Caenorhabditis elegans: one gene and its partner. The protein of the gene in region 2 interacts with the protein of the main gene of each other region in a pairwise test. Each region holds a gene or a part of one and is shown on either strand. Other genes may lie near its edges.

Region 1 (5,132 bases), on a different chromosome or scaffold from region 2:
ATCCCGAGGATCAGAGAAACCGGATATAAGCTTTTTGGTTATGGAAGAGATCGTAAGTTCCGATTTTTATGTGATCTTTTGAAATTTTTAATTCCAGCTTCGGATAGTGTTTTGGAGTCTGGAAAGTTGAAATCGCTATACTCGTTTGTTGCGGAGTGCTCCGACGATTTCCCATATGGCGGGGTGTATTGTACGTCGGCAGTGAATAGAGGATTGTCTTGTGATGTTTGTTTTTAAAGTTTAAAAGTGTTTCTTCAGAAGTAGGCAGAACAATGCCTACTTGCCCAAGATGCCTAATAGTTTCCACTGATTCCAGGGTGACAGTGGCTCGGGAGTTGTCCGAACATCGGACACTCGAAATGTTCAAGTTCTCGTAGGTGTTTTGTCAGCCGGAATGCCTTGTCCAGAACTCTACGATACCCATAATCGTCAACGTCAGCAACGGAGACAGCTGACTCAAGAGACTGATCTTCTCGTGGATGTCTCGGCACACGTGGATTTCTTCTGCACGTGCTGTGGAATGTGCAGTTGAAAGTTTAAGATTCAAACATTTCATTTCGTTTTTAATATAAGAATGCTGAAATAAAAGTGAACGTTGAGTAATTAGTTAATTTACACAAGAAAGTTTTTGAAAAATCTGATTTCAATTCAGTCCTGCATCTATTCAAGTTTGCGATTGGCGTTCTGAAAGTTCAAAAATTAGAAATTCACATCTCTATCACTTACGTAAATGTTGATTTGATTCTTGAGCTGTGCAGTGAGCACTTTTCCAAACACAATATGATTGTGAGACGCGAGGATTTTTGCGGCGGCAAGCGCGGCCTCCGATGGGTCCAACACTGTAGTACACCCGATTCCATTCGGCATTCGGAGTGATGACCAAATGTCAAGACTCGTTGATTCACTTGGTGGCGGGCAGTTGATCACCTGAATTCTTTGAAATAAAGATCATCTGATCTTTCAAGTCCTACCGGAAGAGACGAGTTTCCAGCAATAACTGGACCGAGTCCATTGGATCTTCCAGCTACTGCAATCACAACTGTCGGAACTCCACTTTCTTCGAAATCAGCGATAACTTCCAGAGTGTCCGAGGTAGTTTTATGAGCTGAGCTTACTTTCAGCGTAGTTTCCAGTCCAAATTTCTTGGCTTCATCAGAGATTTTCCGTGCGAATACGCCATCCGAACCAGATCCCATGATCACAAGAACATGGCATTTTTGCTGGTGTTTTGAGAAGGTGGCAGTGATATCCATAACCTGGAAATGTTATTGGTAGGTAGATACGCCTTCGTGTCTATGTGCCTGCCTACCTACTCAACGTGTCTACCGAAAATTGTAGGTATGCATATTGGCAGAAATCAGGTGCAGATCGCCTTGCAGGCAGGCAAGTTATTGTGCTTACACGAAAGGTTTGATTCGCGTAAAAATCTAACAATTGATATATAGGATGATTGAATTTAGGTTTAGGCTTAGGCTTAGGCTTATGCTTAGACATGGGCTTAGGCTAAAACTTAGGATTAGGCTTAGTCTTTGGTTTAGGCTCAGGCATAGGCATATGCTTAGGCCTAAGCTTCGGCCTACTAACCTTTGTATAATTCTTCAAAACGAGAGCCAACCCCTCTTCTGTCACTTCCTTCATATCCCTGTAAACTTGCTTATCCAACTGCAGACGTCTATCATTTTCAGGCCAAACTCTCCACGAGTCATTGTCAATCACGTCGGCCAGGAGAATTTCTCCTTCAACTGTGACTCCGAATTCGATCTGGAATTTTCAGGTTTTCTTCAAAATTATTTCAAAATTACAACAACCGACAATTGTAAAATTCAGCGAAAAGAAAAACACACTTCTCCTCGTGAAGTACTCAAGCTGCGTAAATCGACACGTTACAGAAAACACCCAGTTTTAAATGGTGCTGATTTCCTTTCAAAATGTAAATATTTACAAAACGAATATATTGCAGACCGAACATTAAACTTACATACTTTTTATTATGTTTACTTTTTAAAGTTGAGACCGATAAAAAAAAAGAGAATAATAAAAACTTTGCAACACCCTCACCTTCATATCAATCAGAGCACTATTTGAAAGAGCCCATCCTTTCTCCAATGCTCTAAACACCAACTTTGTCATCTTCTTCATCAATGAAATCTCTTCTCTTCCAATTTTCAAATGATCAATCATCAAACCATTCGACACAATTTGTTCATCAGTCCATTGTGGATCATCATTAGCGTCGTCTTTGAAAAATGTCTCCAATTTCAGATCATTAAATCTGAAACCCTCTTTAACTCCAGGATTTCTCTTCAAGAAGGATCCTGTCGCAACACGTCGTGCCACCCATTCAATCGGAATCATGGTGCATTTACGGGCGACAAATTCAGTTTCAGAGATGCTTTTTTCAAAGTGTGTTGGTAGACCGAGAAGTTGAAGATATTCAAACACGTTTGATGTGGTTTTACTTGCGATTCTAGACTTTCCTTCAAGCTCATTTTTACGGACAGCGTTGAATGCGGTCAAGCTATCTTTGGAACGAATGAGCACATAATCCTGAAAAGATTTTGTTCAGAAATTGAAAAAGTTGGATTCAATTTTGTTGAAAAGCACATTATTATCGCAATCCAAACGGAAAAATTCAAATAGATTTCAAATTTACGAAATTGACCGAGTTTTTTCTAGGCTCCGTGAAAGCTCAGACACCGTTTTTACAGGAAATTTTCCGTACGTGTATTTGAAAAATGTGCTGAAAGAGTGGCCGAGTTTTCTCATTTCCTAGGCCACAAGCTGGCTATTTGCGGCGTGGCCTAGAAAACGTGAAACCTCGGCCACTCACCGACAGTGAAAACCGAACATTTCTTTCAAAGATTATTTTGAGCATACTTCTGAAAAATCTCTTCTGATAATTCGGTTGGCCGAGTTTTCGTGTTTCTAGGACACGCTTTTCTGAATATTATGTAGACGCATAAAAATGTGACTTGGGCTGCAAAAGCGCGCCACGGATAACTGAAAACCGGGTCTCGTTAGGTATTGGCGGTAAAACCGTATAATCCTACTTTTTTGCCGATTCCAGCACTTTCCAATCATTTCTCGTTGTTTTTAACGATTTTTATGTTGAAAAATGCAAAAAAAATTGGGTGAGATCGTCAAAAATTCACGTTCCCAACGAGACCCAACGTTTTGGGGCGGAGCTTGTCAGATTACTCGCGGAGCGCGTTTGCATCACGATTTCAAAAGGCGCTTTTAAAATATCTAAATTTTAATCTATAAAGCATTAAAAAATTAGTAGAAAATTAATGTTTTCCCAAATTTTTTGAATTTTCAGTGAAAAAAACCAACCTTTTCTCCTTTAATATCAAAGATTTGCTTGGTTTTTCCTTCAGCAAGAAGCTCCAAGTTTTCGGGTCTCGACGCGATTTCAGCCAACGACGACATGACAAACAATAATAGTATCGAATGAAACTGTGTTGCTATCACGGAACGATATCAGAACCCCCTTGTAGGCGAGTTTGTCATCGACAAACATCTTGTTTTCAGCCTTTTTCCCCGTCTTATCAGTTCGGTGTTGCGCCACTGAAAATACAGAGAAAACCGCCGCCGCCAGTCATTGTGAAGCTCTTTCTTTGAAAAATCACAGGTTTTCAAAGAGCAACTTGTGTATATCGATAATCGTTTATACGAAAACGTAGAGAAAAGAGGAAAAATAAGGAAAACGAAGGAAAAAAATGGGAGATTGGGAGAGAAAATGTGGAGAGAAAGAGGGGAAAAAGAGATGGAAAATGAGAGAGAAAGGGAGCAATTCGAGAACAAGATGACGAAAGTGGGATATAGAAAATTTGCACACGAGAGATCATCTTCTTCTTGTTTAGTTTGGAGTAGCTCGCGCCGCCGATGGAACGGCTCCCGGTTGCACATTGATTCCTCCGATTCCAGCTGCTCCAACACCACCACCACCCATAACTCCGTTAAGACCCGCTGGTGCCGGTGGAGTGATTTGTCCGCCACCGCCGCCACCTGTGCCGAGCGTCAAGTTATGCATCTGAAGCATCAGACCCGTCTCCGGACCGCTCGGAAATTGTGGTCCTTGGAAAAAGTATTTGTAGGGTGTCGGTTGTCCGGAAACTGATTGCGGCATTTTCGGCCGATCCTCGAGCTCTTTGTACTCCAACTTTAACTCTTTCGGAATTTTTCGCCATTGCATCTGATCGAACACGTTGTAATGCCCTTTTTCATAATTTCCCGTCTGTTCTTTCACTCCACCGTACTGAGAACGCGTCAACCACACCTGTTCGCTTTTGTGAAATCGCCATTCGCGAGCGTACCTGCAAAAAATTTGAAAATATAATGATTGTTTCGTGATAAAAAAGATTTTCTCAATTGCTAACATAAAATATATGTTTTTTTCAATTTTCTAGCTAAAATTTTAAAATTATTAATAATTTGATTCGTGAACTTCGACCGCGACGTAACTGCAAACGGAGCGGCTCAATAATTTTTATTTTAACTTTTCGCTAAGAACGCGTGATTCACATGATTTTTCATAAATTTATATATGAGGCGAAATAAGAATCAACTAAAATGATGAACAATTATGCGATCTTAACGAAAAAGCGGATTTTCTTGAAAGTTTTTCGCCCAGAACGAGTGATTTTCTATCATTTTGGCCAATTTTTTATGCGTTTCATATGTAAATTCATGAAAATCACAAATTCTCGGGGAAAAAAAAAAACTAAAATAAATTTTTTAAACACGACGCTCCGCTCGCGGTCATGGTCGATGCAGGTTTTTGGAATAAACTTTACTTACAATTCGCACGCCGCCGCCACCTGATAAATCTCGTTTGGACAGTTGTAAAAAAGATAGAATAACACGTCTTCTGAAACTTTATTCAATCGCAGCGGTGGAAGTTTGTCTCGAATATGATTATGCGTCATGTACTCCTCGGGCACCTTCACGTCGAGCTCGTGTGCTCGAATCGGCGAATCGGCCCACGGACCACCAAAGTTCATGTACAATTTTCGTCTGAAACAGAGGGAAATTAGAGTTTTTCTGGGCTTTTCGGGCTTTTCAGGCCACTACTCACTCTGACAAATTCAAATTCAAGCCCAACGTCGTAAGATCATAACCTAACGCCAGTG
Region 2 (4,614 bases):
TCCGACGTAGACACCAACACGGAAATAGTTGACTTCTGGAAGAATTTGTTTAACGATTTTTTAAAAATAAATTCAATTTAATACTAACTCCAAATTAAAACCGATATTTCGTATGGTTCAGTTGTGGAGACGCCGACGATTGTGTCATTGAACGGATTTAACTGATGAGATCTGCAAAATTTAGTTTAATTGTTGGATTTTTCAGAATATTTTACAGCTAGAGTTGGGATACCCGAAAATCCGTGACTTTCTGCAAAATCTTCGATGAATTTACTAAAATCCTAGCAGAAACGCAAAAGTTTAATCGAATTTTAATTAAAATTAGACGGAAAATTCGGAATTATTGGCTTTCTTCTAACTTTGGGTCTGCTAAATATTTAGCATACCCAACTTTGGTGTGCTAAATATTTAGCAGACCAAAATTTCCACGTTTCTCTGTTGCACATTTCTATTTATCAGCGAAATCCAACAAATTTTTGCTGATTTATCATAAAATCTGTGTCTTTTTCGCGGTCCAAACCTCAAAAGTGCGGCTTTCCGTAAAATTCCGAAATAACGATTGTCATTATCGTAAAGCTGTTGAACAGTTGTGCAGTTTGTACCCTGAAACAACTCCATTTTATATTTTCGCAAGCATTTCCCGAGAACCTACCTGATAAAACTGATATTGATCCGCATTTGTCAGATTAGTCTGCAAAAAAACATCGGTAAACGCGTATATCGCGTTGTAAGGTAGTGCTTTCTGATAGAAAAAGTCGAGATTGTACGAGTAAAGCTTGGCGCCGACACGAAGGACCTGGTTTAGAGCTGAAAATTATTTTTTTTTTAATTTTGAAACTTTAAAAAAGTCTTACCTGCCGGTTTTTGCTCACAATCCTCGAATTTATAGGCCAAGCTACCCGCGACGAGTAGTGCGAGGGTCAGTAAGCGCATCTGCGCCGAATTTTTGCTGAAAATTCAGAAATATTTGTTGGAAAATTAGAAGATGGGGAGAAATTCAACCGAAATTCAGAGAAAAAACGTGAAAATTCACATGAAAATTCGAAATCTAGGTTTTCGCGCTGCCGGGTCCCGCCACGAAAGTATTCTGTGGACTCCTCGTGGACAACTTTCAGTTATTTTGTTTTGTTATCAATTTTTAGTTAATTTTCGAAAATTTCTGGAATTCGATTCCAAAATCAGAAAAGAATGATTGAAAAATTCGAAGAAAATCGAAAAAATTGTGAAATATCGAAGGAAAGTCGATATTTATGAACTAAACTTCGCCAAAAATTGATTTAAACTCGAAAAATTAACGATTACAATAAAAAAATGTCATAAATTTTAATTTAAATACGTTTTATCAAACCTGAAAAAATAAAATTTAAATTCAAATTTCCTTGCAACGACACTCCGCCGCACGCCTTGTTTAACCGAGCCCCTCTAAATTAAAAGGTTCCCCCTTTGTTTTACACTAAAGTGCTCATTTTTTCGCTTTCAATTGATTTTTTGACAGAAATTTCGTGTATTTTTACGAATTAGTGCTGAAATTTGAAGAAATTTGAAGAAAAAACCGAATTCCAGATCTCAAATGCCCGACAATTTATCGGCAATATTTGGAACAATACTGGATTATGCAGAGGAAGTAGCAGCGGGGACATCTAATGAGAGTACGTGTTTGAAAATCGAGAAATTGCAAGACATTGAGCAGATAAAAGAGATTCTTGGCGGAAGAATAATACAATTTCGGCGAAAATTAAAGGAATTTTGGTCTGCTAAATATTTCGCAGACCCAAATATAACTTTTTTTTTGAAAATACGGTTTTTAGAATTTTAAGTAGATAAATAAGCTAGTTTAAACATTTTTAATCTTAAAAAAATCAAGTTTTTTATGGTTTTTAAGCAAATTTTAGCTACTTTTGAAAAAAAAAGTGGCAATAAACACCAATTTACTGAAATTCCAGACGACGAAAGGCCTCCACGAACAAGTTTAACGAAAAAGCAACAAAAAGCCGTATCAATTCTGCGGAATTTCTCAACAAACGACCAGAAACAAGAGATCTCATTTCAAGAACTATCACAGAACGTTCTCGACGACTGGGACATTTCAAATATCAAATCTTCGTCGGTTCAGCAACTCGTTGAGCTCCTAAATTTGCCACGTGTACAGGGAGTATTATGGGCGGCGCAGGAAATTTCAGCCGGGCGGTTTGCTCCGCAGCTTCCAGACGTTCCGTTCGAAGTTGACGAGGATGATGGGGTCGCTGTGAAAATTGTGAGGATCGACGGTTTTTGTTCGGAAATTCTATTGAAATTTTCAAAATTTTGGAAAAATTGGCTAGTAAAATTGACAATTTTTTCAAATTTCCACTTTTATAAAATTCTATTGGTCTGCTAAAATTGGCTTGGGTCTGCTAAATATTTAGCACACCCAACTTTGGTCTGCTAAATATTTAGCAGACCCAACTTTGGTCTGCTAAATATTTAGCAGACCCAACTTTGGTCTGCTAAATATTTAGCATACCTAACTTGGGTCTGCTAAATATGGGCATTGGTCTGCTAAATATTTAGCATACCTAACTTGGGTCTGCTAAATATTGGCAATGGTCTGCTAAATATTTAGCAGACCCAACTTTGGTCTGCTAAATATTTAGCATACCCAACTTGGGTCTGCTAAATATTTAGCATACCTAACTTGGGTCTGCTAAATATTGGCATTGGTCTGCTAAATATTTAGCATACCCAACTTTGGTCTGCTAAATATTGGTTTGGGTCTGCTAAATATTTAGCATACCCAACTTTGGTCTGCTAAATATTTAACAGACCCAAAAATTTTATATTCCATTTCATTTTTCTAATTTTTTGTTTCAATTTTCCAGGTGCGAATAGTGCGACGTGGCGAACCCCTCGGTGCAACAATAAAATGCGAACGTGGCAAAGTATACGTGGCACGAATAATGGCGAACGGTGTGGCAGACCGTAGTGGATGTATTCAGGAAGGCGATCGAGTATTGGAGGTCAATGGGATTACTGTAGCGGATAAGGAGCCCAGGGAAATCGTGAAGCTGCTGGATAAATGTGATAATGGAATTGTTAGTGATTTTGTTTTAAAAAATTCGAAAAAACAACAATTTCCTAGCAGTTTATCACGAAAATCAGAGAAAATTTGTAAAAAATCACATATTCGTATCGTCTTGTATACCTGAAAATTGCTAAAAAATTCTGTATTTGTTAAAAAACATTGAAGATGGATTTATTATAATTTAAAAAAAAAACCTGAAATATCAGAAAAAATTTGCATTTTCTCAGTAATTTGTAACTTTTAGCCTGAACTAAAAAAGTTTTTAAGAAAATCTATAAAAATACACGTTTTTTCTCAAATTTCCAATATTATTTTTCAGATAACCTTCAAGCTGATCCCTGCAGAAATAAACCAGAAGTTAAAGCAGAAAAAGTCGTCACATCGGTATGCCCGAGCTTTGGTAAGTGGTTTTTTCTAGTTTTTCTCAGAATTTTAGTCCAAAATTCGCAAATTTTTCAATTTCCAAGTAGAAATTCCGTAAAAATAGCCTAGAATTCTTCCTAGTTTTCAGTTCGACTACGATCCATGGCAGGACAAACGTCATCCCTGCCCAGAAGCTGCAATTTCCTTCCGCGGCGGTGATATTCTAGAGATCCTCGACGAAAAGGACCAATATTGGTGGCAAACTCGAAAAATCGGATTCGGAGCACTGGCGAGGCGGAAAGAGAGTCATGATGACGAGAATCGAGATGATTCCAGTGAGAAAATTGCGCTCTGAAATTCCAAAAATAATGATTTTTTCAGAAAAAGTGGGTCTCGTACCGTCGGAATGGCTACAGTGTCAATCGGAAATTCCAGAAAATGGAATAGATACTTCAGATGATTTTCAGTCATTTTTAGAGGTATAATTTTGGAAAAAGGGTTTAAAAGTGACTTATGACTTCAGAAAAATGAGAAAATTTAATTTTAAAAAAATCTAATTCCACGTGGTTTTTATCCAGATAATTGGAATTTTGGAGATCCAGAAAATTCCACTTTTGCACTTTTTTTCAGAATTTTCTTTAAAAAGCGTAGTTTTTTTTTCAATTTAAACGCTATAAAATATTGGCAACACTAAAGTCCAATCGGATCCTTAAAAATTCAAAAAATCGAAAAAAAAAGTGGAATTTGAGTAAAAAATCTATTTTTTGCGAGTTTTTGAACATAAAAATGGATTTTTCGTTAATTTTTAGGTAAAAAATAAGAGAATTTTCAGTGGAAATTTAGCTAAAATGGCGATTTTTAACGTTCACGACTGAAAATTGTGGGGTTTTTAGCGCGAAAAATCGATTTTTTTGGGATTTTTTAGGTTAAAAATGGGAATTTTCAGTGAAATTTAAGTAAAAAATCAATTTTTTGCGAGTTTTTGAACAGAAAAATGGATTTTTCGTTACTTTTTAGGTAAAAAAAAGAGAAATTTTTTCATTTAAAAAAAAACCAATTACACGTGGTTTTTATCCAGATAATTGGAATTTTGGAAATCCAGAAAATTCCACTTTTGCACTTTTTTTCAGAATTTTCTTTAAAAAGTGTAGTTTTTTTTCAATTCAAAGCTATAAAATTGGCAACACTAA

What was found. The genes of interacting proteins can lie anywhere in the genome.
Region 1: the proteins of magu-1 (region 2) and paic-1 interact in a two-hybrid assay, tested with the Caenorhabditis elegans proteins (one large-scale study listed by BioGRID).

The regions. Positions count from the first base shown.
Region 1 is NC_003280.10:4,369,087-4,374,218, forward strand, and holds paic-1 (Phosphoribosylaminoimidazole-succinocarboxamide synthase), read right to left. Parts: upstream 3,440-5,132; 5' UTR 3,430-3,439; coding exon 3,334-3,429; intron 2,822-3,333; exon of another isoform or gene 2,752-2,821; intron 2,548-2,751; coding exon 2,059-2,547; intron 1,762-2,058; coding exon 1,585-1,761; intron 1,257-1,584; coding exon 972-1,256; intron 928-971; coding exon 727-927; intron 685-726; coding exon 661-684; 3' UTR 539-660; downstream 1-538. Other genes in the region: try-9 (Peptidase S1 domain-containing protein), read left to right, coding at 1-52, 98-225, 317-532; ntl-2.1 (NOT2/NOT3/NOT5 C-terminal domain-containing protein), read right to left, coding at 3,860-4,316, 4,801-5,016, 5,078-5,132.
Region 2 is NC_003281.10:468,652-473,265, reverse strand, and holds the start of magu-1 (MAGUK family), read left to right. Parts: upstream 1-1,563; 5' UTR 1,564-1,570; coding exon 1,571-1,649; intron 1,650-1,943; coding exon 1,944-2,254; intron 2,255-2,858; coding exon 2,859-3,071; intron 3,072-3,380; coding exon 3,381-3,461; intron 3,462-3,572; coding exon 3,573-3,759; intron 3,760-3,805; coding exon 3,806-3,903; intron 3,904-4,614. Other genes in the region: nemp-1 (Nuclear envelope integral membrane protein), read right to left, coding at 1-35, 89-171, 521-603, 653-807, 855-933.